Linked DNA regions of Drosophila melanogaster. The protein of the gene in region 3 interacts with the protein of the main gene of each other region in a pairwise test. Each region holds a gene or a part of one and is shown on either strand. Other genes may lie near its edges. The genes, in order: cerv, Sdhaf3, boca and sel.

What was found.
Region 1: the proteins of boca (region 3) and cerv interact in a two-hybrid assay, tested with the Drosophila melanogaster proteins (one large-scale study listed by BioGRID).
Region 2: the proteins of boca (region 3) and Sdhaf3 interact in a two-hybrid assay, tested with the Drosophila melanogaster proteins (one large-scale study listed by BioGRID).
Region 4: the proteins of boca (region 3) and sel interact in a two-hybrid assay, tested with the Drosophila melanogaster proteins (one large-scale study listed by BioGRID).

Annotation. Positions count from the first base shown.
Region 1 is NC_004354.4:15,574,188-15,582,138, forward strand, and holds cerv (cervantes), read right to left. Parts: upstream 3,985-7,951; 5' UTR 3,703-3,984; coding exon 3,624-3,702; intron 3,579-3,623; coding exon 2,965-3,578; 3' UTR 2,799-2,964; downstream 1-2,798. Other genes in the region: CG9213 (uncharacterized protein), read right to left, coding at 1-311; CG42299 (uncharacterized protein), read right to left, coding at 870-1,363, 1,422-1,476; CG7872 (uncharacterized protein), read left to right, coding at 4,247-5,248; CG9215 (uncharacterized protein), read right to left, coding at 6,899-7,951.
Region 2 is NT_033777.3:16,478,570-16,486,119, forward strand, and holds Sdhaf3 (succinate dehydrogenase assembly factor 3), read right to left. Parts: upstream 3,884-7,550; 5' UTR 3,793-3,883; coding exon 3,711-3,792; intron 3,645-3,710; coding exon 3,535-3,644; intron 3,479-3,534; coding exon 3,308-3,478; 3' UTR 3,292-3,307; downstream 1-3,291. Other genes in the region: Gyc89Db (guanylyl cyclase at 89Db), read left to right, coding at 258-2,267; Dhfr (dihydrofolate reductase), read left to right, coding at 2,692-2,771, 2,822-3,290; Der-2 (Derlin-2), read right to left, coding at 4,460-4,637, 4,694-5,214, 5,299-5,385; Cad89D (cadherin 89D), read right to left, coding at 6,130-6,454, 6,519-6,722, 6,819-6,974, 7,058-7,363. UniProt on the Drosophila melanogaster protein: Plays an essential role in the assembly of succinate dehydrogenase (SDH), an enzyme complex (also referred to as respiratory complex II) that is a component of both the tricarboxylic acid (TCA) cycle and the mitochondrial electron transport chain, and which couples the oxidation of succinate to fumarate with the reduction of ubiquinone (coenzyme Q) to ubiquinol.
Region 3 is NT_033778.4:7,562,586-7,570,283, forward strand, and holds boca (boca), read right to left. Parts: upstream 4,154-7,698; 5' UTR 4,078-4,153; coding exon 3,928-4,077; intron 3,766-3,927; coding exon 3,373-3,765; 3' UTR 3,288-3,372; downstream 1-3,287. Other genes in the region: Rpe (Ribulose-5-phosphate-3-epimerase), read right to left, coding at 1,976-2,272, 2,473-2,655, 2,714-2,899; Vps13 (vacuolar protein sorting 13), read left to right, coding at 4,680-4,779, 6,294-6,380, 6,447-6,644, 6,715-7,068, 7,125-7,346, 7,417-7,553, 7,615-7,698. UniProt on the Drosophila melanogaster protein: Chaperone specifically assisting the folding of beta-propeller/EGF modules within the family of low-density lipoprotein receptors (LDLRs). Acts as a modulator of the Wg pathway, since some LDLRs are coreceptors for the canonical Wnt pathway.
Region 4 is NT_033778.4:10,049,202-10,057,592, forward strand, and holds sel (seele), read right to left. Parts: upstream 2,967-8,391; 5' UTR 2,686-2,966; coding exon 2,601-2,685; intron 2,501-2,600; coding exon 2,333-2,500; intron 2,139-2,332; coding exon 1,822-2,138; 3' UTR 1,661-1,821; downstream 1-1,660. Other genes in the region: COX7C (cytochrome c oxidase subunit 7C), read left to right, coding at 360-443, 552-668; COX7CL (cytochrome c oxidase subunit 7C-like), read left to right, coding at 1,270-1,359, 1,421-1,548, 1,605-1,617; Def (defensin), read right to left, coding at 5,088-5,366; magu, read left to right, coding at 8,068-8,142. UniProt on the Drosophila melanogaster protein: Involved in embryonic dorsal-ventral patterning which is generated by a series of serine protease processing events where gd processes snk which cleaves ea which then processes spz into the activating ligand for the Toll receptor.

The DNA.
Region 1 (7,951 bases), on a different chromosome or scaffold from region 3:
GAAGATGAAGTGGAACTTTCGCTGCTACTGCTGCTGTTGCGGTGCTTCCTGCTCTTCTTCGATGACTTGGACTTGGACCTGGACTTGTGCTTGGAAACATTCTTCTTTGACTTTTTGGCGGGCTTCTCCAGTTTCTTGGCCAACGCGGGCAGCATCCAGTCGGCTTCGCCGCGCAGCTCCTTCTGCCTCTCCCGCTGCCCACGCAGTTCCGCCCGCTCCTTGGCCTGCTGCAGCATCGCCTCCCGGGCCTCCCGGAGCTCCTGGCGCGCCTTATCCTTTTCTCTGCCGCTTTCAAATTGTATGTAGCTCATGTCTAATTTGGTTCTTCTTGTTTACCAAAACATTAGTGTTAGAGATGGACAAATATGCACAACAGTGATATCGCTTAAGTCACTACTGAATAACAGACATATCGCTTAACTCACTATTGAAAAGTTGATTGCAATATACAACAAGAGAGAATGATATAGTCAAATTCCCCGTTACTCGGCTAGTGTGAATGCGAAAGCGAAATTTAATAAATTTAATTTAATTTTAATTTTAGAATCTGTATGGTGAATCTCAACCTTCTAGCTTTTATAATTCCTGAAATTTTGGCGCTCATACGGACATGAAAAGATCGACTCGGCTATTGATCCTAATCAAGAATATATATACTTCATATGGTCGGAAACGTTTCCATCTTCCTGTTACATACACTTCAACAATTCTAGTATAGCCTTTAACTTTACAACGGGTATAAAAAAGTATCAAAAAATTCCAAAGGAGTGTTTTTTATTTATAAAGTTAATTCTCAACAAGACTTGAAGTCATATTAAAATCTAAAGTTTAAAGGCGCTTTTTATATATAATTAATGACCTGCCTGTTCTTAGTCCTCATCCGAGGAAGTTTCATTCTTGATCTTGTCGGACTTGCGCTTTTGCAACTCCTGCTCCACGTCGGGGTCCTTGACCAGGTGCTCTAACTTGATGTCGGACAAGTTGGGACAGTCGCGCACCGGGCATAGGATGCCAATGTTGTCCTTGATGATCATTAAAACCGTTTCGCGGTCGTAGATATGACCGCACCTTTTGTTGCGCACGGGGTGCTTTATCAGGAGCTTGGACCAGGGATCGTGGAACGGGACGACCTCGACGCCGAAGTCTTCCATGATAAGGTCCTCATCAAGGCCGGCGATATTCTTTTGAGCTTCTGATTCCACCGCATTCATGTAGTTCGTGTCCTCAAGTGAGTTATTGACATCGATGCGCATCTGCTCCACAGCTTCGGGGCGCTCCTTGCAGACTTCCTCGGACTTCTCGATGGTGTTGCTAGAGTTTTTGGTTAGCAACTTCTCCCCGTCATCGCTGGAATTGGACACGACTGTGGGTGGGTGTGTTTTAAAGATGTTAAAGATGTCTCGGTTTGTCACATGGCTCACCTTCTGCCATTTCCCTGAAGAGCTTTTGGTGGGATTTCGGGTCCATTTTGATCATAAATTTTATTCAGACGCTTTTCAAATTGCAAATCCAGAATATTTAGATCGAAATGTCAAGACTGACGCTTCGGTTAAGCTAGGACCGATAATTTCGACAGGCAGCCTATCGAGGGTGTAATCGTTCTTTTGAGAACCGTTAATAATCGTGATGTGCGTCAAGTTAGCGTAGGTGAGTTAGCGTCGGTCAGTTAGTGCAGATGGCGGATCGGTAGAATTTTGAACATGGGGAAGTTTTTTATTTATTTTATTTTGTTGGGTTGTGGGCATTAGAGTGGGCGTGGCAATATGGGCATGCGCTGCGTCTATGTCTCTAGAATCTGTATGGTTAATCTCAACCTTCTAGCTTTTATAGTTCCTCAGATTTCGGCGTTCATACGGACATGATCAGATCGACTCGGCTATTGTTCCTGATCAAGAATATATATACTTTATATGGTCGGAAACGCTTTCTTCTGCCAGTTACATACTTTTTAACAAATCTACTATACCCTTTCACGAGTAACGGGTATAAAACTGAATATATTTGATAATATTATACTGAAGCTACCAATTTCCGATGCTGTAAATTGCATAATTTATTATGAAATAAAAACACTAATACTTATTATGTCAGCGGAACATAATAAGAATATTTGAGTCTAGAGGTTTTATCTCCAAGGGCATGACAACGCCATGGCAACCCTTTTTGCTTGTGTCAAGAACTCAAAAAAGAAGGCGATGACTTTGCAGTCTACAAGTCACATTTATAATTTGGCGTGAGGACCTCAGTTGATTCACATATCCGAGCGGATAATACTTAACTATTTGCAAAGCACAGCATTTTTAAGATGACCATTTCAAGAAAATGCTTTACGCATACAAGTTGATAGGTTTTCTAAACGAAACAATGAAGTCCTACGATTCTTCATAGAGCTCACCGATTTCATTATTCCGTTCACCGCTCCCGATAGATTCTTCGTTATTTGTAGAGATTTCCAGCGCAAGTCGCCAACAGCTGGCCCATTGACCAAGGCACCCATGCCGGAAGCTTTTTCCGGCAAAAAACCAAAAACAATGAGGAAGCAGCCATGCTGAAGGACCCCATGGCTTGCGGGGATTCAGAGCCGAAGCTTAGCAATGGTAAATCAGTCTGGATCTCCTCTGAAGATAGTAGCGATCCGGATAATGACAAGGTGCCATTGGTGCCATATGAGTCTGATGTGGATCGTCTGCGGCAAAGACTCGCTAGAATGTTTCGGCGATGATTTCGATGGCAATCGTGCTATATATTCATTTGTTTCTACATTTGTACCAATTTTCTAAATAAATCGCAAACTATATACATACGTGCATACTGCACTTCTAATATATTTTCTCTAAATTTTTTCGGGACTATTTTTAAAACATGTTTATTCGTTGTACCTTAAATTTTCATCAAATGGTTGTCTTACAAGAACGTGATATCTTACGCTGCGTTATTAGTCGACAAGAAGGAAGTTGCGCATAATTAATGATCTGCCTGTTCATCGTCCTCCTCCGAGGAAGTTTCTTTCTCGATCGCGTCAGACATGCGCTCTTGCAACTTCTGCTGTAGGTTGGAGTCCTTGACCAGGTGCGCTGGATGGATGTAGGACCTGTTGGGACAGCCGAGCACTGGGCATCGAATACCAATGTTGTCCGTGATGATCAGCATCACCGAGTCGCGGTCGTAGATGTGGCCGCACTTTTTGTTGCGCACGGGGTTCTTTATCAAGGCTTTGGACCAGGGATCGTAGAGCGAGAAGACCTCGCCGCCGGTGGCTTCCATGATAAGGTCCTCGTCATGGGCGGCGCTATTCGCTTGACCATTTGTTTCCGCACCCGCCTGGGGAGCTGCCGCTTTCATGAAGTTTTTGAACTCGGCTGAGTTCTTGACATCGATGCGCTTCTGCTCCACCGCTTCGGAGCGCTCCTTCCAGACTTCCTCGAACTTCTCGATGGTGTTGCTAGAGTTTTTGGCATGCTTCATAGCCTTGCTGAGCAATTGGTGCTTGCTCTTCATTCGGATGAGATTCTCGGCGAGATCCACGTTCTGGTCCAACAACTTCTGGATCTCCCTGCCATCACTGAAATCGGACACGACTGTGGGTAGGTTTTAAAGATGTCTCAGTGTGTCGCATGGCTTACCTTCTGCCATTTCTTTGAAGAACTTTTGGTTTTCCAATAAAGTGGTAAGTGCCGAATCCACATGGTAATTGAAGTCCATTTTAAAGCCCAGATTCTATGCAGACGCTTTGCAAATTGCAAATCCAGAATATTTGGATCCAAATGTTCAAGACTGACGCTTAGCTAGGTTCAGCTAGGACCGATAAGTTCGATAGGCAGCCTAACGAGGGTGTAATCGGTATTTGGCGAACTGTTAATAATCGTGGTGTATAAGCATGGATTTTATGCCTGAAATTTAAGTAAAATAAATGTGCGTCAAATTAGCGACTCTAAAATAAAATGTAAAATGAGTTAACTTAGAGTGACCATATCCCCAACATACGGTCTTATCCACCCGCGAGCTATCGCGGTTATCGGTGTTATCGGCCAATGTCAACCTGGATAACGAGCGGCGGCCAACTTTTCAGTGTGCCAAACGCCGAGCAGACGGACGAGCAGCGCCAGCGCGACCGCCACTGCCACCAGTTGCTGCGGACCAATCCAAGTCACAACCAATCCGCTCCGATCCGATCCCAGCCAACGAGTGCCAGCTGTGCGCCCCAGCTGCAGCTACACGTGTCCCCAGGGTGAAAGCGCTATCCAAGATGCGGACGCACGGACTACGGTTGGTGCTCTTGGCCCTGCTGCCCACGATGGCCCTGGGCCTGCTAGAGGGCCTGTACTGTGGCAAGGAAAACTGTTACGACGTGCTGGGCGTCACCAGAGAGTCGTCCAAGTCGGAGATCGGCAAAGCATACCGCCAGCTGGCGAGGCGCTATCATCCAGATCTGCATCGGGGTGCCGAGGCCAAGGCGGCGGCGGAGACGCAGTTTAAGCTGGTGGCCACCGCCTACGAGATCCTGCGCGATGAGGAGTCGCGCACGGACTACGATTACATGCTGGACAACCCGGATGCATACTATGCGCATTACTATCGCTACTACCGGCGACGCGTGGCGCCCAAGGTGGATGTGCGCGTGGTTATCGTGGTCGTCCTAACCATTGTGTCCGTCATCCAGTACTATTCCGGCTGGCAGCGCTACGATTCTGCCATCAAGTACTTTGCCACGGTGCCCAAGTATAGGAACCAGGCCCTGGAAATAGCTCGCGACGAGATCCAGGAAAAGATCCAGAAGAAGGGCAAGAATCGTATGTCCAAGAACGATCAGCGCGATGAGCTGGAACGGATCATCCGGCGGGTGATCGAGGAGAAGATGGACGTTAAGGGCGGCTATGCGAAGCCGACACTCTGGGATGTGCTGTGGGTGCAGCTGATCATCTGCCCCTACACGATACTCTCGTTCATCGTGTGGCACGCTCAGTGGTTCTGGCGCTACACGGTAATGAAGCAGCCGTATGGCCGCGAGCAGAAGCTCTACCTCATCCGCCGGCACCTGGGCATGGGCCAGCATCAGTTCGAGGCGCAGGAGGACAAGCTGATCGAGGAGTACCTGCATCTGAAGCTGTGGAAGCGCGAGAACTTCGTCGCCTGGAAGGCAGAACAGGAAGAGGAGATGAAAAAGAAGCTGGCGGAGAATCCACGATACAAGGCGTACAGGCGATACATGAAGAACCACGGACCCGGCCGCATCACCTTTGAGGATTAGCCGCTGCTCTGCGATGTTCAAGTTTCATTGTTCCATCTAAAAGTCTGTTGTGTGCGTGTTGTAAAACCGATCCCAAATTCCTCGCCCTCGGCATCCCCATACCGTCTAAATTTTGATACATTTATATATATATATTTAGAAATTTTTTGTACACCAACTATATCAATATGAATTATGTTAATGTCCCGGTGTTGTCCGCCAAAGGGCGAAACGTTGACCCCGCCGGAGCGATCCGCCAAAACCGGTTCAAGAACGTGGCCACGTTCGGTACGCGTCGGCACAGTGTCCACTGGCTGCCGTGAACGAACCATCCTAGAACAATTATACCCCTACCTGGCTGGTCACAAAAAAAGCACGCCACATTCGCGTGTTTCCTAACTAACTTGACTAAACCGATTACTGTAATAAACTAGATAAAATTCAAACGTCTCTCTTACTGGTTGTTCACTGTGCCTGGTTTGCACAGTTGTTCTGGATGGCCAAAAATTCGATCTCGTGGCATTTATTCGCTCTAAACAGCATCTCTCCGTGCTTTTGTTTACACAGTTTGCTTAGAAACAATTTCGTTTTTTATTGTTTCTTGGTTTGGTGCGGTTGCTGAAAGTTAAACTTAAGTACGTGCTTGAAAATAAGCTGAAGAGTAAAGAAGTCTAGATTTTTCAATGGTAGCCTTCAAATAAAGTTGATTTGTTTTGCGAAATGCTGACTTTAGTTTCGGATACATGCGTGTGGCTCTTGCATTTCGCTATTCGCAGTTCACGTATACCAATTTTTATTTAAACATGTCTTCAAAGTCCTCAATTTGTTTAAAGTAATATAACAGCATAAGGTAGTGAAATAATAAGCATTTATTACCTTATCATTTCTTCTAAAGAATCAAAGTCCTCAAGTTGTTTAATGTAATATAATAGCATAAAATAATAAACATTTACAATCGTATAATTTCTTCTAAAGAATCAAAGTCCTCAATTTGTTTAAAGTAATATAACAGCATAAGGTAGTGAAATAATAAGCATTTATTACCTTATCATTTCTTCTAAAGAATCAAAGTCCTCAAGTTGTTTAATGTAATATAATAGCATAAAATAATAAACATTTACAATCGTATAATTTCTTCTAAAGAATCAAAGTCCTCAATTTGTTTAAAGTAATATAACAGCTTAAGTTACTAAACTAATAAACATTTATTACCTTATCATTTTTTCTAAAGATTCAAAGGCCTCAGATTGTTTAAGGTAATATAAGCATAAAGCATAACTTACCAATATAATAAACATGTATTAACTTTTCATTTCTTCTAATGAATTGTTAAACAATAAATCCCTTTAAAGTAGCTAGAATATAAATGCACATTGTTAACTACTTATTGTGGGTTTGTAAGGTTCTTCGCAATTGCTCCCCAAATAATATTCGCATTAAGTAATATTCCATTCACATTACTATATATGTTCTATTTAAAGCCACTTTCCATAAAAAATAGCCAATATTTCATAAGCTTTCTATCCGAATATCTCCATTTTATTTACACCGATTTCTTAGAGCTACGCTTCTTAGCCTGGTTGTCTAAATGGTACGGGGTGGGGAAGTTTGGGGCCATCCTTGTGTGGAGACAGCCCCTTAGTGGTGCGGTGAGTTGTCCCGGTAGTAATACTATTCTATCATGTACTTGGATTCGTCACAGAACTCCTCGGTGTCCAGCAGATCGCCGACCAGTTCCTTGACAGAGTCAACGCTCTGGTAGCCACCGACGTACGGGTAGGAATCGTCATGCTGCAGCCCTTCGCGGTCATTGGCCTCCTGCTCCGCGTTGTCCTCCTCGTTGAACATGAAGTCATTCGCCACAATGCACTCCTCGAGAACCTTTGTCTGCTCCAGCTCTACGGAGTCCAGCGAAAAGGACTCGGGGATTTGCTGTTGCTTGCGCGCTGACTCCTTCCGTGCGGAGGCATTCTGGTTGCGACTGGATGCATCAGCGGATGATGATGCGACCGATGCCTCGCCGTTGCCCGAGCCTCGGTGCTGTTCCATATGAGCCGACAGATAGGTCTTCTTGGTGAAACCCTTGTCGCACTGCGTGCACTGGAACTGCTTCTTGCCGGTGTGCGTCCGCCGATGGGCGGACAGAACGTGAGCATAGGCGAATCCCTTGTTGCACACCTCGCACACATACGGCCGCTCGCCGGTGTGGATCCTCTCGTGCTTCTTGCTGCTGCCAAAGTCCGAGAAACGACGCTCGCAGTGCCGACAGCTGTAGGGCTTCTGGCCGGTATGGACGCGCATGTGGCGTCGCAGCTCAACGTTTGAGATGAACGCCTTCTGGCACACCTCGCAGGAATATGGGCGCTCGTTGTTGTGACGCCGCATGTGGGCATTTAGCGCGTGCTGGTACTTGTATGTATTACCGCAAACATCGCAGATCTTTGGCGAGCGTTCGCAGTTGCGGCGTTTGGTCGTGGAACCGGCCTTAAAATCATCGTCCACGTTCGCCGTCAGTTTTTCATGCTTCACATTGGGCGAAACGCGACGGTAGGTGCGCTTTTTCTGCTGGTTGGCGGGATGAGTAGGCGGCAACGGCAACGGCGGACTGGCCACCACAGACTCCTCGATGAGCGGAGTCTCGATCTCGTACAGATGCTCCGGCGTGTTTTCGTCATCCCAAGGATCCAGTTCCAGCATCTTGGCCTGCCCCTCATCCTCATCCTG
Region 2 (7,550 bases), on a different chromosome or scaffold from region 3:
ACTACCAATCACTTAAGTTGTGTACGAGTTTGTTGGCCTAATCCCTGACCCAACGCAACGAAATTGTCCTAAATCCTCCGGGGTACGAACACAGTTTACCTAATTACCAGCTCAGAGCGATGGAAAAACTTTGGCTAACCACACCCCTAAATATGTGACTGCCAACTTTGTTTCGTTACAGGATAAACTTTTACGAAGGCAATTTCGACGATAGGCAGGACTTCACAGGACCAAGGACATTCACATCCTGCCCCATCATGTACGGAATGCTGTACGAGAGCGTGCAGCACTATATCCAGCAGGAGTATGGCATGGAGACCTGGCGAAAGGTCTGCCAGATTGTCGACTGCAAGCATCAGAGCTTCAAGACACATCAGATCTATCCGGACAAGCTGATGCCGGACTTTGCGGCAGCCCTGTCCGCCAGCACGGGCGAGTCCTTCGACTTCTGCATGAACTTCTTCGGGCGCTGTTTTGTGCGATTCTTCAGCAACTTCGGCTACGACAAGATGATCCGCTCCACAGGGCGATACTTCTGCGACTTCCTGCAGTCCATCGACAACATTCACGTGCAGATGCGTTTCACCTATCCCAAGATGAAGTCGCCCAGCATGCAGTTGACCAACATGGATGACGATGGGGCTGTGATCCTGTACCGCAGCGGCCGAACTGGCATGTCCAAGTACCTGATTGGCCAGATGACCGAGGTGGCCAAGGAGTTCTACGGCCTAGACATGACTGCCTATGTCCTGGAGAGCCAAAATGACATATGCGGTGGCACAGCCGGTCCCATCAAGCTTACGGAGGGTCCTCTGACCGTGATTGTCAAGTATCGGCTGGACTTCGATAATCGCGATTATATGGCCAAGCGGGTCAATGTCATCGCGCATCCTTCGCAGCTGAAGATGCCGTCGGTGGACCTGAATGTGTTCCTCGAGCTGTTTCCCTTCACCATTGTGCTGGATCACGACATGAAAATCACACTTGCGGGCGAGAAGATTGTCGAGACGTGGATTCTGCATAATCCTGGAGTGAACCCAAAGACCTTTATTGGCAGTCACATATTGGAGCGGTTCAAGTGCCGTCGTCCCAAGGACACTCAGATCCAATGGGAGACCATTCTGCAAATGCGTACAGTTCTCTTCGAGTTTGAGCTCATCCGTACGGGTCACAATCGTGCCGCCTATGATGCGGCCTTGAACTTTGACTTTGAAAACTTTGATGAAGCCAGCAGCCTGAACGAGGCGCAGGCCATGGCTTTGGCCAGTGCCAAGGAGTTTAGTGCGGAGAACGCCAAGGAAGAGGCAGCAGCGGCAGCCACCTCCAAGGACGAAATCGATCCCGCCACGGGACAGAGACGCCATTCGGTGGGCCTCCGATCTATCCTGTTGAAGGGACAAATGTTCTATATCAAAGATGTGGACTCGCTGATCTTCCTGTGCAGTCCTCTAATCGAAAATCTCGATGAGCTGCATGGAATCGGTCTCTATTTGAACGATCTTAATCCGCATGGACTGAGTAGAGAGCTTGTGATGGCGGGATGGCAGCACTGCTCCAAGCTGGAGATAATGTTTGAGAAGGAGGAGCAGCGATCGGATGAGCTGGAAAAGTCGCTGGAACTGGCAGATTCCTGGAAGCGGCAGGGAGATGAGCTACTGTATTCCATGATACCGCGACCCATTGCCGAGCGAATGAGAAAGAGCGAGGAGCACGTGTGTCAGAGTTTCGAGGAGGTATCCGTCATTTTCATCGAGGTAATGAATATCTATGACAGTGGGTCCAACAACATCCAGGATGCCATGCAGGCGGTGACCACCTTAAACAAAGTGTTTTCGGCATTGGACGAAGAGATCATTTCCCCGTTTGTTTACAAAGTGGAGACCGTGGGCATGGTTTACATGGCTGTTTCGGGTGCTCCTGATGTGAATCCCCTGCATGCCGAACACGCCTGCGATTTGGCCTTAAGGGTGATGAAGAAGGTCAAAGCCCATGCTCTTCCCGGGGTGGCTATACGGGTGGGCATTAACTCGGGACCCGTCGTCGCCGGCGTGGTTGGGATGAAGGTTCCTCGATACTGTCTCTTTGGAGACACCGTTAACACCGCCTCGCGAATGGAGAGCAGCAGCGATCCCTGGATGATCCAGCTGTCCAACTATACTGCGCTGAAGGTGCAAAAGGTGGGCTATAAGGTTGAAGCGCGGGGATTTGTCAAGGTCAAGGGCAAGGGCGAGATGGAGACCTACTGGCTTTTGGAGGGACCAGAGTAGAACTGGAGACTTGTTTGTCTTGGAAAATCCAGGAATATCACCACTATGGTATTGAAATATAAAAAACATATTTTGAGACAGAAAATCTTGTAACCCTTTGGAAATAATCAGGCTCGAAAACCTCTTATATCTAATGTATCTAATAACTTTTTGGTAATAGTTAACGAACTTTTAATCCCCTGTAAAGTATATGTGGATCACTATAAAAATAAATTCAAGACACATTGTATCTAGAAATATTGTTTTCGTGGGAGTGGCGCGAAACCAACCTGAAATCTGACTAAGATCTTCATAAGCGTGTTTCGATAATAGGTAAGTAATCGAAGCTATCGAAATCGGTTCCAGCATTGCCTTGATCAGCTGTTTGAATTTTATAGCTTGGAAGATAATTTTCAAGCTTATGCTTTCTCAGTAAGGATTAAGGATGCTTCGATTCAATTTAATCGTGGCAGTTTGCGAGAATTTCGGAATCGGCATCAGAGGCGATCTACCATGGCGCATTAAGTAAGTTGGTAACAAGGATTGAACCGCAGCTAAAGCTTTTGTACCATCAGATCTGAGCTGAAGTACTTCAGCCGCACCACCAAGCGAACAAGTGATCCCACCAAGCAAAATGCCGTGGTAATGGGCAGGAAAACCTACTTCGGAGTGCCGGAAAGCAAGAGGCCTCTTCCCGATCGGCTGAACATAGTGCTGAGCACCACACTTCAGGAAAGTGATCTGCCCAAGGGAGTACTATTGTGCCCCAATCTCGAGACGGCCATGAAGATCCTTGAGGAGCAGAACGAAGTGGAGAACATTTGGATTGTGGGCGGTAGTGGAGTCTACGAGGAGGCCATGGCCTCGCCAAGGTGTCACCGGCTGTACATTACCAAAATAATGCAGAAGTTCGATTGCGACACCTTTTTCCCCGCGATCCCTGACAGCTTTCGAGAGGTCGCGCCCGATTCCGACATGCCACTGGGTGTGCAGGAGGAGAATGGCATTAAATTCGAGTACAAGATTTTGGAGAAACACTCATAATAAAATAATACACTGATTTATTTGCCTTGCGCATCTTCTACTCCCTTGGCCGCCAGCATCAGCTCGTATAGTTGGACTACTTGGTCGTCTTTCAACATTTCTACAGTCTTGGGGTCAATCTCTTCGCCCAGCTCTCCCTTGGGCTTGCCCCGAATCCCTAGTTGTTGGGTGATTGTGGACGCATATCGCTGCAATGGAAGATTTGCTTAGTATGGCGCCTTTTTGTTTATTACGTAAAACTTACGGCCCACTCTGTCATAAAGAGCTGTGCCTCCATGGGATTGCACTTGAGGTGTCGCCGGAACTCGTCCCGCACATAGTTATCGCCCAGAGCACGAAGTTCCGCTGGAAGTCCTACGGAGTACAGAAGTTTAGTTGAAATGCATGCAATTTATAGTAATAGGGAATTTTTCATCTTACCTCTGTGCAGTCGCAAGATCGTTTTGTACAGCAGTCGGACCCTCTGAGGGTGGGTCAGTTGGCTCATCAAAATTCTGGACATCCTGAGTTCATATCATATAACATACTAATACTATACTATTTAGCAGCCGGCTAAAAACTAAATACGAGCGAATAACAACTGTTTTGTCGCAGCCAGTGTTGGCTAACGTCAAATTGAGTTGGCAGGTGGCAACGTATTAAAAGTTTGGCGCGCATTTGAATTGTCACCTTTAAAAGTTCAATGCTATTTTCATATTATATTTAAGTTAGGCACTTCGAATTGAACCACACTTCCGCAAACCAAATAATGTAAAAAGAAAATGTTTTTTTCAAATGGTTTTTTTTTATCAATCCCCAAGCGATTTCAAGCATTTTAAAACTGCAGGTCTTTTTATATAATGATTTATTTGTGGCATGGTTTGTATATATATAATCATCACATGTGCAGTGTAGGTTCAATCTGTCGTGGATTCATCCCTTGGGGGTAAATTATAAATAAAAGAACATCTCGTATGGAAAATGAGCTCTGTTTCAGAAAACAAACCAATAAATGACATACACACACGCTCTGCACCAACTTTGGCTAACTATTGCACGCCTTTCTCTCACTACTATACGCCTAATTACACCAAGCACCAAACAGAAGGTGGCGGAGGGTACACAACATTGTTGTCATCGTCGTCGTTTTGAACAGAAGAACGTTTTAACAATCAAGTTTTCTAGTTTTGCTATTGCGGCGCGGCAGCAACAGGCGCCGCTCGATTCGCTGGCTCCTCATCCTGTCCATCAGCCGCAATCTCTTCCGGTAGCAGGGGCTGACCCTCTCCGCCCCAAGGAAATCCGCCAGGTCGATCCTCAGCAGCCGCCTGGAAGTTGCGTTCGATGTGCTCATTGAAGAGACGTTTCCTAAGGACAACAAGTCGTTATTGCAAAAGTTATATCCCAATTCAAAGTAAACTCACAAAAAGTAGGGGGTTTTGATCAGTCTGTAGCCGTTGGACAGTGTAGGATAGACGTCCTCCAGCACGTAGTAGATGTGGCCAACACCCATGCCGATGACATCCACCCACACGGTGTTTCCCAGAATCATGGAGCAGCAGAGGAGCACCCACGGAAGGTACGGCGCCTGGAAGTTAAGCACCCCGAAGAAATTCATTGGCACCAGTGGATTGCGTCGTGACCACACATAGACCAGCATTAATGTGAAGGCCTGGCCCAGGAACAACAGGTTGACGAAGATTCCGAAGAAGGTCATTAGCACGCCGCCAAAGATGAACATCATGACAAAGTCGGAGCTGCGTCCGCGGAAAGATCCGTCCTCCAACATTCGACAATATCGATATGTAAACACCATATTGAAAAAGAAACTGATGCCTATTGTGCCAAAGTACAGGAATGTGGTGGCCAAGCGCCAGATCTGGAACTTGCGCACAATCAGCGTGGGATTGAAGTAGAGCTGCAGCGGCGACACCAGGTCCAGGTGCTTAAAAGTTGGCAAAAAATATAATCGAAGATAATACACGTACACGTCATCCGCGATTTAGAACGCACTACGGGATACACTTACCACCGCCAAGGTGGTCAGCACGCAGACCGTGGTGTAGGCTCGTGTGACCACCGGGATCTCCAGGTAGAACTGCCGCAGGGCATTCATGGCGGCTCCTCCTCCAACGTTGGACTCAAAGTGTGCAGCTTGGCAAGTGGGTTGCGATTGTATCCTTTGGACTCTTCGCTTCTTCACTGTTTATTCACCTACAACCAGCGGCGGACTATCTCTTTTTGGTAGTCCTCTCACCGGATGTTGTGCACTCCAGGATTGAGACGTGTTAATGGATAGGGAACAGCGCTCGGGCGATGGAAAATAAATGGAACGCTAGCTTTTATTTTTATGACCAAGGTTAGTGATGGTACAAATACTAGTGACACTGGCGCCAGATATCGATAAGCCGTAATCGTGACACGAAACTTTAAATTAATTTTATTTATGTGGTTAACAGAAGGAAGAACTTAAGATTGTGTCGTCTATCGAAGAGTAGTTCATCCAATATTTGAATGGAAATAATATTTATAATAACAGATAAGTTCAATATGATTTTCACTTTGAAATCCATAAGCTACTATATGATCAGAATGAATTTCTATACTATTATATATTGTATTTCCATATCTTCAATGGGTTTATACTTAAACTGGAAATTAATCAAATTTTCTTTTGAGTTTTTCTACTGCTCAATTGATTTTCCCGGATTTCAAATATATCACTTTCTTTTTCAGAGTTGGGGGCTATATTAATTGTAACATCTCTCAAATTTATTGCACTTGTTTCTTAATATCTAAAGTCTATTCTAGGTTGACTACACTAAAAATTGCACTGCGTTTTGTCTAGCTAAAAAATGAACTAAAACAATGAATTAGATTTGCTAAATTCGAGCGGGCGGCGAAAGGACTGCTCCAGGTTGTGCAGCCGCTGCTCCAGGTCATTCATCGAGTTGCGGAGGGCGTGGCCCCGGGGACGCAGTGAAATCTGCGGTGACTGCTGCATGAGGTCGTCCTTGACCCCGGAGAAGGAGTGGCGCACGCAGGAGCGCTTCTCGAACCGCGTGTTCTGGTAGTGGGGATGGTGACTGGGGTGCTGCTGGTGCTGGCGGTGCTCACAATTGGCACTGCGACAGTTATGCGCCACCAGTGGCTCGTCCGTCTTCAGAGAGTCCTCATAGGTGTCACTGTTGCAATGAGATTTCAAATGTTAAGAAGGCAATCCGAAATAAAGCACACTCTTCTACCCACCTGCTGTCCGTATTTGGCTGGCGCAGCTCCAAGTGGGCCTTCGCATGTCTGGGGCATAAAACTTCCGTGTTGTTGCCGCGCTTAGAGCCTCCGTGCTGAAAGGAATCCGGCGAGGTCTCGTACAGCTCGCGGCTGCTCAGGAACTCCACACCAGAGTCCTGGCCCGTCGAGTGAAGTGAGAACAGCGAGGTTTCGTAATTGTTACTGTTGTGATGATAGGTTGCAGTTTAGTATGTTAAGTCTAGTTCATAACAATTGTGCCAAATTTGAAACCATATTAAATATAATCTATAGACTTACAGATTGTTAACGGGCTGACAGGCATTGTACTTCAGTACGAACGGAGTGCTCCCGACGCCCACAGCTCCATCGCCCCCACTCGTCACCGCCGCAGCCTTGGCAATGGACTTGGGAAGAGGAACGTCTATGTACTCGCGCTTTTGCTGTCGCTGTTGCCTGTTTCGGGGATGATGGCAATTAGTGTCCAGAATGGAAACACGTTTGACTAGACGCGGTCTTGACCACGGCCATTCACTCACTCGTTCAGGTACTGATGATGCTGCTGCTGTGTGGCCATCGCCTGCTGCTGGTGGTGATGGTGCAGCTGCTGCTCCAGTTTCTCGGTGGCGGTGGCCGTAGACTGCGTTTGGGCCGAGGAGCAGACGGACTCGGGCATGAAGGCACTGGTGGGTCGTTGGCTGCCCGTGCTGCCCTTGCTACAGCGCTGTGTGTGCCGCTGCTGCCGCTGACGGCGCTGCTTCTGGCCACGAGGAGATCCGATGCCAGCGATGGTATAGGTGAGACCGGCATCGGAGGCGGAGAAATCACGCTGAGACCAGAGACGTCTGCAAGAGACACGGGAAGAATTTGTAGTAGTTTTAGACGGCTCATATCAATCGTTTAAATCATCATTAAGCTCTAGTATAGTTACTTGTTTTCATTTTCAATATGTAAATTTATAGTTAAACCTGATCGTAGTTTCCTTTCAATATAACAACATAACTTCGAACATATTATTTATTTTTCTCTGTG
Region 3 (7,698 bases):
CAGAGCTTCGCGATGTGTACAGCTTTGATATTGTTTTCGAGTCGAAACCGGAACATGAACCGGAAGTGGGTCGGATTTCCGGTAGCTACATGTTTTTGACTTATCGTTTCTAGTTTCTAGCAAAAACCTGTTGAAATGCTTTAGACAAGAGATTGCAAATGTATAACCGATCACTACTAGATCTAGTTGGTCATATTATGCCTACCAATATATATATATATATATATATATATATATATATATATACATATATGCATGTTTTGTACAATCAGTTTACAAGTGGAAAAGTATTATTAGTCTTAACGGGGGGTTAAATGAAGCGCATATTACACAAGGCACACGATGTTTTAGGCGGAACATGAACACAAACCAATATGTAACTGAAATATATACAAGAAATATACATATAACGGATACATATATTCTATATATATATTGTAGTGCTAGCAATTAAGCAGATGTGATGGTGTCTAAATTTATACATGCATATTATCAAGCGAAAGTGGAAAGCTTAGATTATACTCGAGACAAATCTGTGGGCTGTTGTAGATCGAGCATACTAGCTATAATGACAGAGTACAGATCCAGGACAATACAAACTTATAAAGATATACCCATATCATAGAAACTATGCTTACTTCAATATCGTGCAGTGCATGAACACAAGCCCGAGTTTTCCTGAAACTCTCAGGGGTTTTACTACTAAGCTTCAAATGCATTGACGTGAAATCACTGACGACTTCAGGACCACATCGGATGGATATAGTTTGTGCTTGAACTCAGGCAGGACTCCTTTGCTGTTGCTTTGGACAGTAAGCCACCACACCTTTCACCCTTTCAGTTTTCTGGGGTTCACTCTCCTTGTGCATTTACGATCATTCGGATCATGGCGAGCTATTTTTATACACCCCATGCTCCAGGCTACTATCAAAACGCTTAGCTTTATGTACATTTAGTCTAAATCGAATACAACCCATATATTATATATATTGTAGATGTAAAATGCTTAGCATTGGCGATCGGAGTGAGTGAAATAATTTACACGTGGCATGAACTGCAGAATAGATAATTACTAAGTACAATACGCAAACAGTTGACACTCAAACTCAGAATCGCACAAGCCCCACATCCTAGTTGAAATTCTGCGCTTAACGGGGATCGTCCCCAAGGATTCGATTCAGTTTCGCATGCTCCATGTGCATGGAGGGACACACTACACAAAGTACATAAGAACAGGCCCTATTAAACAAAGAACACAAGAATTTGTAGCGAAAAGTTATGTGTAAAATGTAGCAAAATCCAAAAACCAGAAGCTGATAAACAAACTAGTTGAATTTACATGTGTCGCGCATTATAAAGATGAAGCATAGTATATGTACTCACGTATCAGAATATTATATGTAAATGTTTAAAGATGATAATTTGATGAAAAGCACTTGTTATCTATGCACAGACGGAACTTTGTGAAGAATTTACAATAACAACCTTTGACAATAAAGACAAACTGAATTTGTTTTCCTGTGAGCTAGACAAGCGCATCGGAGGCATTGAGAATTTATGAAAAGTTTTACATTCAGATCTTGAAGTTTTGACGCAAATCGAACAATATTGTTGAACATTTATTTTTGAAAACTCAGAGAGTACCAAAACCATGACAATAAAGCCGGCATTTGGCCAATGTCCGACAATAACTGGGAAAGTGCAGTAAACTAAATGTAACTACATAAAGTACACGCAGACACACGTATAACCAACTAAATGCTAAAAGCAACATGTCATACCAAACATGATATATACCTACAAACATATATTATATAAATGTTAAAAAATAAATGTATAAAACCACATACGGTTGTAAGTTTCTTTTAATGGTACCATTTCCCGAGGAATTTTCCCCATTACTTGCAATGCAATTTGGTCAAAACATTTCGCCTATCTAAAAAATTCTTTCTTAAGCTAGCTGGTAAATGAATCTCTATTTGAGGTAGCTGTGCACCACATCGCGCAACTCCTTGATGACCTGCGACTGATCGGAGGCGCCCACCACGGCGGTTCCCGAGACGATCATGTTGGCTCCGGCCTCGGCACAGCAGTGTATAGTCTTGGGTCCCACACCTCCGTCCACCTCGATGTCCAGGTTGGGGTAGTTTTCGCGCAGCCACTTGACCTTCGGCATCATATCGGCCATGAAGGATTGTCCGCCAAAACCGGGTTCCACGGTCATCACCAGCACAACGTCGGCAATGCTCAAGTACTTCTCCAGATCTTGTACCTAAAAGGTAAGTGCAACAGGTGGTTACTCGTTGGATATTTTCAAAATTGTAAGGAACTTCAGACCTAGCTTGGGACAAGATCTAGTGGAAATATCAAATCTATAAATAATTTCAAACAAATAAGCAACAAGCTGTGGCTATACAACATACATAGGAGGTATCAAGTATCAAAAGTGATATAACCCTAACCTCAACCTACCTCGGTGCCCGGCTTAATGGCCAGGCCCACCTTCATGCCCGACTCCTGCACTCGGCGACTGACTCTGACGACATCCTGCACCGGTTCGACGTGGAAGGTGTAGAGATTGACACCGGCATCGGCCATGGGCTCTATCCACTGCTCCGGATTCTGGACCATCATGTGCGTCTCGAAAAAGGCCGTCTATATGGGGTTGTGGCATAGGTAATTGAATATCTGGCTCAGATGACTGCAGACTTACCTTGATCTTGTTGCGCAAGCTCTTGACCATGGGGTGACCAAAGGTGAGATTCGGCACAAAAGTGCCGTCCATCACGTCCAGATGCAGGTAGTCCGCTCCATTGTCCAGTAGTTTCTGTGACTCCGCCGCTAGGTTGGAGAGATCCGCATTGAGAATGCTGGGACCGATCTTGGCTTGGACGGGCATCTTCTTGGTGGAACAGCTACTCAACAGGCGGAGCAAGTAGAGCACGTCGCGGTTCGCGGGTGGCGTCTTGTTGACTTAAGGTCACACAGAGGGGAGCTGGAGCTCGAAACATTTGAAAGGCGATACGATAACTTTGCCGATGGCACCGTGAGTTGTGTAGTTGGTCAGCGATTAATTTAGAGTTTTGCTTAAATTTTTCATTTATTTTGTTTTTGATTTGACACATACGCAGTGTATATAAACAATCTAATAGAGATACAAATATTATATTCAAAATATGTTTATTGAAATATTCATATTTTTATCCATATTTATTCCATCCCGCAAACGGAGCCGTTTCCCTGTGAATGGCCAAGCAAAATACATATGTAGCTTCTTTAATAAGTTTGTTTAATAAATTTGTTTTATTTTAATTGAACTTTGATCTTAAATAGTGAGAATGTTTTGATGTGCTGGTATGCCGTGGAACCGGCCTACAGTTCGTCCTTTTTCGCATTGACACCTGGGTACTCCTTGTTCTCGATGGTTACGCCCTTGCAGCGTTCCTGCTCGATGAGGAAGTCCTTGGCGTCCCAGGCTTGTGTGCCGTCCTTGAAGAGGAAGATGGCGCGGTTATCGTCAACCATGTAGCGCTCCGCCTGGATGTGGTTGTTCCAGAGGCTTGTCTGCCAGAGCTTGGTGATGGTGTCGCTCTCCTCCCGGGTTGGATTACCGGTCACCGAAACGAAGGTCATCAGCGTGCGCCCCTTTTTGGACACCTTGAGCAGGTCCTCGGGGCTCTTGCTGTCCAGATTGCTCAGGTCCAGCTTGGGCTGGGGGCGCAGGTGCTCGGGCAGCTCATCATCCTCGAGGGGCTCTTCATCTTCCTAAGAGAAGATTAAAAGAAGGGGTATCAGTTATCCGTCTCTACAAATGATGAATCCTTAGATAGGTGGGAATCTAAAGGGTTGGCATTACTCCCTTGCTAGGTGCGAATCTGGAGAGTTGGGTCCGATGTGTCGCTTTCCAATCGCAGTGTTGTTACCTACCTCCCATTGATCTAGCAGACGCTCGAGGTCCGCCTCGCTGTAGTCGCGTATATCCTTTTTGGCCCACGCCGGTTTCTCCTCCTCCTTGAACTTCTTGGCCAGGACGAGCGGGGTCAGAGCTAGCAGCAGCAAAACAAGACGTGTTTGCATGGTGTTTTATAAATATTTTTCCTATAGCTCAGCAATTCGCACGGTCAAACACGTCACCTAACAGTTTGCCATTCGCCCGGGAACGCGACCGAACAGCTGATTGAGCGTCCCCAGGTGGAGAACGCAAACGGAAAACACAACAGCTGTTAGTTTCGGGCGAGCATTTAAAGAACGCGCATCGCACGGAGTTACTACTTTTTTGTCGCGTGGAAATGCCGCTGGTAATTGGGTGCAGTAAATAGAGATAAGAACGGGCGTTGCACACGTGCTCTGGAGTGGAGTAGTGAGTTAATCGCACCAGCCCTACTCCAGCTGACCCTGGACAATCGTTTGGCTTGTTAGTTTATTTTGGAACAATGGGCCTGGCGGATTGTGCCAAAATATTTGAAATGCGTTCAACGATGACATCATCGACATTGTGTTTTAATCCGTCTCTCCGTTCCATCTGTTTGGTTTCTGTGTTTACATATGCATGTATTTTAGATCAACTATAGACCGCACAGCGAACGCCAGATTGTTTGAAGCACTCACCACGACCACATCAATTGGAATAACAACCACAAACTTGGAGGAAAATCAATAGGAGCATCTGCTAGGACACAATGGTCTTCGAGGCGGTGGTGGCCGATGTGCTGAACAAGGTGCTCGGCGACTACATCGAGAACTTGGACCGGAACCAGCTGAAGATTGGCATTTGGGGAGGTGAGTTCCAGTTCCCCGGAGAGGATGACACCATTCTGCTCCACCCTCACGCAAAAACATCGCCTTACTGCGGTACCCATTGTTTATTGGTCTATTTGCACGCAAGTGCCCAGAAAAAACAATGATGGCGGTGACCTTATCCTTGGCAAAATACTATTAATGACCTAATTTCGTCGCTTCTAAGTGAGCCGTATTCGCAAGTTCATGCGAACCCAATGAATTCTTCTGAGAAAGAGAAAAGACGGAGGAGCATTCAGACTTCGAGGGGTGGGACAACTGTTGCATCTTGCTGTGCGATAGAGCAATTCTTGTGGTTTCTCTTGGCTCTCCATGAGCTCATTTAGTCTCTGCCTTTATATCTTTTATTTACAAATCTACTTGTATAGGGTTTCTGTGTGAAACATAAACAATTCTTCGGTCTTTTATCTGAATGTACTCACTTCACTTCATGTTAAGTGGGTTGTAAATTCCACTTCACGAAGACAAGTTTGCGACAAACCCAGTAAACGGGTTTGTTCAAAGAGTGACGTTCGGCGACAAGCCTGTTTTAATTCGGCTGATCTTGAACTTGGTGACATAATGCCTTGCGTTCATAAATTCATGTTAATTAGCATTTTGTTTTAAACTTATATAAGAGTATTTCATTCAAATATGCTTGAAGTAAGAAAGACCGGGCTTATGCTTCGTTAGAAATGAATGAATATATGCTATAAAATGATATTTTCTCTACAATACCTAAATATTTTGAATAAAACTGATTAGCTTAACTAATCAAAAATGACCTAGTTAAGTCAATGGAATATGTGTGTATATATTGCTTCTATGCAGGGTATATTATTTATATTATATTATTTGCCCAATGATTCATATTTGTTTTCATTTTGCAATTTACAAGTCAAGCGTGTTATATGTACATATATTGTAAAATGCAATCAGGTGAATAACTCTTCTTGTTTATTGAAGCAATCTAATTTAATCAGTTGTTACAACACTGTTATCAGAGTAACTTATAATTAATACTCTTGTATTTAATGTCGATAATTGAACACCACTTGCAGAATTATGATTATTGGCCAGATATGAAGTTTGTAAAGTAAGGCCAAACATGTTCCTATCAGTGCGATTCGACTGGCCTCAAATGTTGGATAACTTTAATGGGGTCGCTTGGTCGTTAAACTATTGACACACAAGCGTAATTCAATGTATAGTATATTCACCAATTGTGCTGCCCATTTTGCATTCCAAGCATAACAAACACTTAACAACTATAAATGCCGCATGCCCAAAATGCCAGACATTGGTAAACAGTATTGACATATTGGTGCGCCCGCTGCTTTTTCCATTTGCGTACTTAACACTTTGCAAAGCCTTAGTCATATATAAATGTAGCTATAGCGCTCTCCCTATGTAATTAACCCGTAATTAATTAATAGGCATTCGCTCCCACTTTTGCAAATGACTGATTACTGCGACTGATAAGACTAATGAAAGCAAATTCTGTCTTTGTTTGGCAGGCGATGTCGTCTTGCAGAACCTCAAGATACGGGAGAATGCCCTGGACGAGTTGGACCTGCCCGTACAGCTTATCTATGGTTACTTGGGTATGTAAAGCATTAGTTTCCAACTGAATTGGATACTCATACACTGTGAATTTAATAAATTTGCAGGCAAACTAGTGCTTAAGATCCCCTGGAAGAATTTGTACAGCCAGCCGGTAATTGTCAACATTGAGGATCTTTATGTCTTAGTTTCACCCAACAACAATGTCCAGTACAACGCCGAAAAGGAGGCCAAATATGAGATGGACCTCAAGAAGGCGGCGCTTGATGCCCTGGAGGCAGCTCGCAAAAAGGAGTTGGAAATGGGTAAGCGAATCTTCTTTTCCATTCTTTGAATGAATCGAAATATATATATATATATTATACTCATTCACAGATCAGCCCAAAGCAGATGCAGGATTTGCCGAAAAGCTAACGGCGCAGATCGTTAACAATCTGCAGGTGCAGATAACCAACGTTCATCTGCGATACGAGGATACCACAACGACGGGTAGTCCCTTCTCCTTCGGCATATCCCTGCATGAGCTCGAACTTTACACCACCGATTGCGACTGGGAGAAGTGCTACATGGCCCAGCAGGCGTCGCAGGTCTTCAAAATAGCGAATCTCTCATGTCTTTCCGCCTATTTGAACTGTGGTGGACAACTGTACGCGAACAACAAGAGCGACCTTTCACAGCAGTTCAAGACGAATATTGCTTGCAAGGAAACAAAACCCAACTACAACTATGGTAATATTTTATAATTCTGTACGAGAAACACCTAAAACGTTTCCTTGCGGTTATAGTGCTGGGTCCTATCTCTTGCAATGCCAAGCTAAAGCTAAACATGAACCCGGAGCTCGATGATCCGCCATTTGAAAAACCTAAAATCGATCTTACGCTGGAAATGGAAAAGCTTAATGTCGGCTTGACAAACACACAGTTCGACAATCTCATGAAGCTTGGAGACGCTATGAACCGCCAGCAGTTGGGCATACCGTACCGGAAATATCGTCCCTACAATATACGTAAGTATTGATCAGACTCTGATTTTTTTCAGTAGTTATTAACCATAAATTGATGTATTATTTTTTTTAGCATACAAAGGCCACGCCAGGGACTGGTGGCACTTTGCAATAACTTCTATTCTAGAGGAGGAAGTAAGGAAACCCAGAGAGAGCTGGACTTGGGGACACATCAAGACCCACAGAGAACGCTGCAACACTTATGCACAGGTGTGTGGAATGTCTTAACTAAAGAAACTACAGTATCCACAGTGCACATTTTACGTTTTAGAAATACAAGGAGCAGTGCTTAAGCAAAAAACCGTCAGCCGTGCTTACGGAAACCTGCCGTTTGCTAGAAACGGAGCTGGACGTT
Region 4 (8,391 bases), 2.5 Mb from region 3:
TGCACCTAATAAATGAACTAGTAAGTACCAGCAATGAAGGAATGACTACGTTTTTCACCAGTACTTATAAAAATATTAAATAAATAAAAACGAAATACTTACGAAGTATTTAAGCCGTATAAATGTTAGTCAAGCGATACCTAGGAAATTCTTATATTACATTTTACAAATTTATTTTTTTTAAATAAAATGTATTTTTTGTGAAGCCAAAGGCAAAGTTAACAGAAACCGCATTAACGTTAACGTAACGTAATCAGCAGAGCTGCACGGCAGCTATCGACCATTTGTCATCTCTATTCTGCGCACCCACTGCGAACTTTATTTTCCTGGAATTATTATCAAATAAGTCAAATTGCGAGATGTTGGGCCGCAGCAGTGTGATTGCACGCAACTTTTCCCAGTCGATGGTTCGCTTTAGCGGACATGGTGGAGTTCCCGGAGAGGTGAGTCCCTAAAAATGGGCCCATTGCGGGTTACATAATTTGCACGACTCGCATAGGATTGGGAGGAAAATCAATTCTAACACCGGAAAACACCTCATTCTCATGCAGAATCTTCCCTTCGGGCTGACGAACAAGTACCGCATCACCGCCCTGTTCACCATCGGCTGTGTCTTGGGCTTCGGATCGCCCTTCCTGATCGTCAGGCACCAACTGCTCAAGAAGTAAGGGGCTCCCCTGGCGACAGCAACAACAAATGTAAGGTTAGTTTATTGGTTATATTCGGTTTGCATTTTAATATAAATATTCACTTTTCAGATGTAGCGTTATCTGCTGAGTTGGCCGGCAGGCCATTACAGTGTGTTACAGCTTAAATTTAAGTAAAAAGTGGAAACGAAATAAAGTTACCCGTGACCGTAGAACCGATTGGTGGATGTTTTCTTTAAAAGCTGGCAAGACGGCTTATGTGGAACAACAGTTTGTTTGGTATTGGCACTTGTAAATGCATCCACGCTTATTTTTAAAGCTTTTAGTATCAATATCTTGTGGCTAAACTATGGAAACTGTGCTCGCAAATAACATGGACTTGGTAGAACGACGTCAGAAACCGATGTACACGCAAAGTTGCCAACTGGAAGGAATATTTCTAGTAATGGTGAAGTTTTAAGGGTTCCCTTAAGTAGGCTTGCCTATAAAGATATATGTCAGGAAATTTTTCGAAAAGCCAGTAACTTTCATTCGTTCGCTAGAAATCTGGGAGTAACTTCTCACTCGCAAGCAATCAAATAATTTCTTATTCCCGTCTCAACAAACGGATTAAAATTTACTCATGTGGCCCACACTTCGTAAACCCATTGGCAAGTTTAGCGGGCCGCTGATGCGTTATGGGAGTGGATATCCAGGCGGCTCTCCTGGGGCGGTAGTTAATCCAAGGTCAACACGCAGCTAACCATTCTAAGAACTTACAATTTCCCTCACAGAACTTACCCTTTGGCTTGGATAGTCCAATGCGTTTCACACTATTTTACCTAATTGCGGGAGTCGTGGGCTTTGGGGCTCCGTTCCTAGTTATTCGCCATCAGATGCTTCGTAATGTAACCAATGATCCGTAAGTAATCCGAGTAATCCAATAAAATCGTATCGTTATTAATGTTTGCTTTACAGCAAGGATGAGTAATCCCAAAATGACATAGAACACTCGTTAATAAATTAATAAAAATACATTGCACATGGAATTTATTGTCGTACATAATTTGTAACACTTGGCATGGTTTTCTTTACATTAGCTAAACATAATTTTCGTTCGAAATATCAGTACAAAGACCTCCACTGGCGGCGATCAAGGAAATTCGTTAATTAACTAAGCTTTCACTGGGACAAACTACAGTTCCTCTTTGCCATCAAAGTCATACTCCTCCTGGACCGGCGATTCGTCGCAGTAGCTCGCTTGTTCTGAGCAGATCTTGATGTCTAAATCGTTTCCGAGCTCTTCGGCCTGGAAGGCTTTAACGAAGATCTCATCGTTGTCCTCCAGTACTTCGTTGCAGAAGTGCCCCAGGCTTTTGTTGAGATCACCATCTTGCACAAAGTCAACCAACGAGGAGTCTGGGTTCATCTGACCATTGATGATCATCTTGAGGAGTGTGAATTTCCCGTTGCTCTTGTAGGTTGCCTTCAAGTAGTCGTCCATTTTTTCGCCTTAGAACGGGAAAATATTAGGAATGATAAGCAAAGTGTTATCATTAATAGAATACCACATATAACTATCTTCATTGATAAACAATAGCTACGCTCGAAGGTAAAACTTTTGACTAACGTCAAATGTTTTAAGATTAGACTGGTCTTTATCAAGCCTCTATGCTATTCCGTACCATATGGTAATAATTACTTACAGATCTTCTCCATCAGTTCGGTAAGGAACATTTCAGATTTCACTAGGCGAACTTTCTTGCTGATCGAATTTCCCTGTGCGTCCAGCCGGAATCCACTGACATCGGCCATCTTGTGGGGGTCCTCCTTGGCAATGGCCTCCTCCAGTTCCGTAACCACGGCCTTGCACACTGTAATTTATGGAACCTCAATTATCCGGGCTCCCAGGGCCAGCCAACAAGTGCACTGCCGCCTGTTGCTGGCGCGCTGTTATGTGTGGATTCTCCTTACCGTGACACTTGACCTCGCGGGAGGTGAAGCTGTAACCTTGGGCCAAGGCCAGCAGGCCGAACAGGATAAGCGCCTTCGTCAGCATCTTTTTAATTGATTGTTTAATAGTTTAACGCGTGGAAACTAATTGCATTAACCACGTCAGCAGAAGCGCCTTCCGTTTAAAAGTGCGGCGTTGATAAAGACGTGTGCTGTATTTACGACGACTTAAGAGCGACGTGGTTCTTGATGCTCTGCAGCGATAAGTGAAGAATTCTACTTAATTTATGCCCAAGATGTGGTGACGAGGGACGCGGTCAGTGGGTCTGGGTCAGCGTTCACAAGAATTGTGGTAAACGTTTTAAAGAAACCTTATTGATAATACCCGGCTATCGATAGAACTTTTCTAGCTAACGCCAGTTTTGGCTATCAAATATTTTTAAGGTGACCATCTCTACCTATTTTAAGCTAAAAATGAAATATGTGTACTTGTCGTTAAGAGATTTAATTTGATGATTCACATAAAATGATGTCGTTTAACATTTGTAAATCGTTTGAACAAAAAAAATATCGATAGTCAAGTGCGCGCGTTAATTCAAATCTTGATCGTAGCACGATGCACGTTGAAATGTTTAAGTTTGGGGGAGAGCTGCATTATATACATATGTGCATCTCAATTCTCGTATTCTCTTAGCTCTAGATCGAAAACTTATGTACATTAGCCGATGTGCTACTATATAGTGAGCCGATAACTGAAGAGTCAGTGCAAATGGAGAATCGCTCGCGAGTGGTTGCTCTGTTTTCGGATCGAGATGTGAGGACGAGGGGTTCGCGTAATTAACCGGCAAAGCGTTTGTAAATTAAAAGAAACCCACAAGTCGGCCGCGTTCCTCGATTTCTACATACTCTTATTAACCATTATAATTGGCGTTAATTAAGTGTCGTGTTTCTCTCTCGGCGCGTGTTTCTCTTCCCTATTCCCCTTGTTCGCTTGCACTGATGATCATTTTTCTTGGCGTCTGTTTGTTTGCTCGGTTAATTGATAAGAACGAATTGTAGTCGTCGGACTTGCCGTATTTATAGAGCAATGCCGCAAAAGAAACGGAAATGCAATGCAAATTGTTGCTATACCTTTTAGCGTAGGTTCAATTTTTTGACCCTGCCAAACGGAAAGTGGCATTCGCGGGCTACGAGATAAGCGATCGATGATAATTTATTCAGCTATGAATGAGTTCGAGAAGCACCGCAATCTTAAATAGAAAACACATAGATTTAATGTGGATTTTATTTAAAAATATATAGAAAAATATATATCTCCTTATTAAAATCAAGTGCAACGGCACAAACCTTTAACACAAACACCTTTAAAGCCCTTCTTCGAACAGAGGGAATTGCACCGCTCAATGCAGGACTGTCGCCTTGGGCGGACATGTTCCTTCGCATCCTGGATAAGACTCCTTTGAAGCTCCTTTTGCAGAAGTCTATTCTCGGAATCCTTCGGAATAGATCGAACCTGCATTAAGCAAACCGCAACTAGAGTTAGCGCCAGAATAATCGTGATCTTCATGTTGTGATATGAAATCGAGAACTGTTCCAGCTCGTTCAGGTTGCATTCGTGTTTTATAGTAAATTGAAAGGCTGCCGGTTTATGATAATGAGTATTTTTGTCGTAAGAATAGAAAATATTATTGTTTCTTTTCAAAGTTATGCGGAATAAAGTATATGCGAAAGCTGTTTCCGTTTGTTGCTCAGTTAGAAACTGACTAATTATGCCGTTATATGACATTGTATGTTTGGAAACTACAGCAAAAGCTTTATGTAACCAAATTATATTAAAGTACAACGCAAACAATCGATGGGAGAAATTATACAAATTTAAAAAGAATTTCAAATTTGTATTGCTTTTTTAAGTAAAGTTTACTGAGCTTAATATTTCTTTATTAAAATCTGCCTTGAATCGCCATGAAGACCAATAACTGCTCCCGTTAAGAGCTTTTTTAAACAAAGTAAATATATACGTATATATTTGGTATATATAGATCGTGCTCCTCGGGACCTCAATTTTTTTTTTAGCTCGATTAGGTTTAGTTAACTTATATGGTAAGTCGCTAACGCTAATGACCGATATTTTGTTGTACGAATTGGTAATGATAAACGCAGATTATTTTCACAGACTAAGACTAAGGAACATACACAAGGAATAATTAAGTCGTTCTTCTATGACTTTGAAAGTTATAAAGCCAAAGAAATATAAAATATTTTGAAAATTTTCTGTGATCAATATTTATTATTAAAATAGTAGCTTAACTATTAAGAAATTTTTACAGTCCCAGTTCCTTCTTACCAATTATTTCCATAAAAAGTAATTAGTAATAATTACAAATCATTATAATATTTAAATATCTGTCGATTAAAAGGATCCATTTATATATAGAATTTTTCAACGTTTTGTTTTATGTGTGACACTTAAAAAACGAAAATTTTTGGTGTACACAGAGCGAAACGAAATCAATTGCGGCAAACGCAGACGGCCTTGTCGTTGCAGTAGCCGCCTTTGAACCCCTTGGCAATGCAGTGGCCGGCGCAGGCGGTGTGGTTCCAGTTCCACTTGGAGAGTAGGTCGCATGTGGCTCGCTTCTGGCGGCTATGCTGCAGCACCTCCTGGTGGGCATCCTCATGCACCAGGACATGATCCTCTGGAATTGGATCCACATCGGAAACTGGCTGAGCCTGCGCCACGCAAGCAAGCAGAGCAAAAGCGATAGCCACGAGAACGAAGAACTTCATCTTGGAATACAACTGGAGAGATACTGTTGTTGCAGATTGTGGTTTCGCCGAGCTTATATAGCAATGCGACGGGCTGATCGATTCGGCCCAGGGACTCCCACCCGGTGACTTACCTTCCCATTGTCTCTTTTTCTGTGCAGGAAGACACGTCTCGGGGGTTTTTAATTTTTAAGTTCACTGCAAATGGGAGAAACCGTTGTCTAGATCATTATTTCATGTGCTTTGCCTGGAAAATATTGACAATATTTCATAGATAAGAGCAAAATACAGCCGACAGAGCCCGTTTCTGCAATAAGTTATTTGCATTTCTAGGGATTTTAACTGCCTTAAATTTTAGGCAGTAAAGTATATTCCACATGACAAGTTAATTGTAAAAAGCAACATCTACGAAATTAACCATTTCAAATTGTTTAGGCCTTACTTGAGAAAGAATCTTTGGTTTGCGAAATATGCAGGATATTTGTATATATGCAACGTTGATAAAAGCCTAAGTAAATATGTGCCCTTTAGTAGCATCCAATTTCGATTTTATTACTCCCAAACTGTTGAAATTAGCTGATGTAGGGGAATCCATATTTAATCATCTGAATTTCTAGCTAACTGACCGATTGGGTGCCACTTTAAGGGCTATACTCACAGCTACACAGCTACACAGTTGGCTCAAGCAACTGAGATACTCGGTTACGGATACATAAACACATGCGACAATAAATAATTTCTACCGAAAAGTCTCTTCATAATGCCGGGCAAATAAACAAACAAGAATCACACAATGATTAGTTGGGCATACAGCGGCAGGGGCGGGTGTACTTGTATCTGAATCCGTATCTGCGCGTACGTGTATCTATATCTGTATCGGCATCTGCATCTGGTTCTCAGCCCAGTCGCGCTGAGCCGACAATCCCGATCGAATCCCACGACCGAGGCTTTTTCAGTTGCCCTGCTCCTTGGCTGGCCGTTGCCTGTTTACCTTTGTTATCGACCAGGTTGTCTTGTCTTGCATTTTGGCGTCATACTGTCTGCCAGTCCACTCCACTTGAGTTTCTACCCCGCCCCTTACAACCGTCTACAGTCTAGAGTGTTGCCCGCATGCCCATCTTCACACGAGGAGAAAATATCGAATCTTTTGCGTTTCCACAGAGAGTCTTTAATATCAATACATGAGGATTTTTTTGTAATATGTAAAGGCTTATAGATAGGTGTACGCATCAGAACTGCATATGTACATCCCAAAATCCAAATCTATAGATCCCTCAATATTGTAGAAGATTTGGAGTTAGCTAGAGTTGCTACTTCTGGACGAAGGTACTATTTACAAGTACAGGTATATTTTCCCCAGTGCATGCTCGATCATCGAAGAAGACCACAAAACGGAGTGTGGCACAGCCGAAAACAAAGTGACGGCAGGAACGGGGGTGTTCGGGGTGTTGGGGTATATCAAGTAGTGGGCAAGAGGGGGCAGTTATCGCCGCCGTCAGACTGTCTGGCAGGTTTCACACCGAATCGAAGACGGAGACCGGCAACTCCACTTCGTCTCCGCCTCCGCCTCCTCCATCCACCTAAAATCCTCTCCAGGCGAACTCCTTGGCCAGCGGCTCTATAAATCACAGGAGCGGGGCCCTCGACGGCTCACGTTTTCCCCTGACCGCCTGCCCCTACCCCGACGTCCCTGCGCCCCTTGCCCCTGGCCCCTCCCCCGCTGGCTGAGCAGCTGGTGCAACTGTTGGCCGCTTTGTTTTAGAGGTTTTTTGTTGCTTTTGTTGGTGAGGCAACCTCTTGAGATGCACAAGGAAAGATAAATTTCACACGCATACACAAGTGCTGCTCTCTGTCTGCTGGTGTGTGAATGTGATCGTTTTTATGCTGCTACAGTAGAACATCCCTAAGTTATAAATTCATACATAAAATGCTGTTTTAATGCTGGTTTAGTTTTAGTGTACTAATAATGGGGTAGTGATAGTTAATTAGTCGTTCAAGCACACGTTTGGAATTACAGTCACAATATCTTCGTTCGGTACCGTTGACCTATGGTTTAACTGAGAGAGGCTCCACTGTGCTGTCCGTCCAGCCTCCACAAGTCGGAGTGTGGCAAAGATAAGATATTGGAAGCGACACGCCAGACACTCTGGCGGCGGCGATGTCCCTCGCTCTCTCCGCCGATCTCTCAGCTCGATTCCGATTCCGATTCCGAATCCGATTCTTCGCCCACTCTCACCTGGGGCCTCTCTCTTGCGTTTTGGGCCACTCCACTCCAAGGCAAATGGCCAGTCGTGTGTGGAACTCGGCTGCGATCGGTTGACTATTGAAGTGCGCTCTGCAGATTCGTTGTGATCCGTGCTCCTCGCTCCTCGCTTCCTGAACATTTTCGGACGGTTTTCCAATCGAAACGAACCAAAAATCGCACACATTAAGACGCATTATATAAACAGAAGATCCACAACACCTTAATGCACACGCACACACCTCTCTCACTATAAATAGACCACGGTAATCGGTAAATAAATAAATCGGAGAGCGGCAAAGTAAAAGTTCTAGGAAGAAAATCTAATTGCGACTTTGCGAAAAAGATGGTGAAATAAACGAAAAACTTTGATTATAATGAGAGAATCGTACTTGATGCAATAAACACGCGTATCAAACCAATCCCCCATCCTCCGAAGCACAGTAACAGTTAATTGACGAATTCGAACTGCTAAGTGAAATGTTGGCGAGATGTGTTTTGTTCGTCACTTGGCTGGCGGTTTTCATTGCGACTGGAAAAAGTGACGATCAGTTGGTAAGTTTACTTTCGAAAAATTGTTAACAAAATATTCCCCGAACAAACCAAAGTGAATTGGGTTAATCATGTGCAGTAAAATGTTTGCTGAATTTATACAGTTACTCATATTTAAGTTACAATATTACATTTTGAATAGAAGGTGTTAAATTAATATCATTATTCAGATTATTCAGCCGGCGAACATATTCCTCTCTAGAAGTTCTTACCTCTCAGAACTTTTTACATACATAGGTAGATGTATCTAGT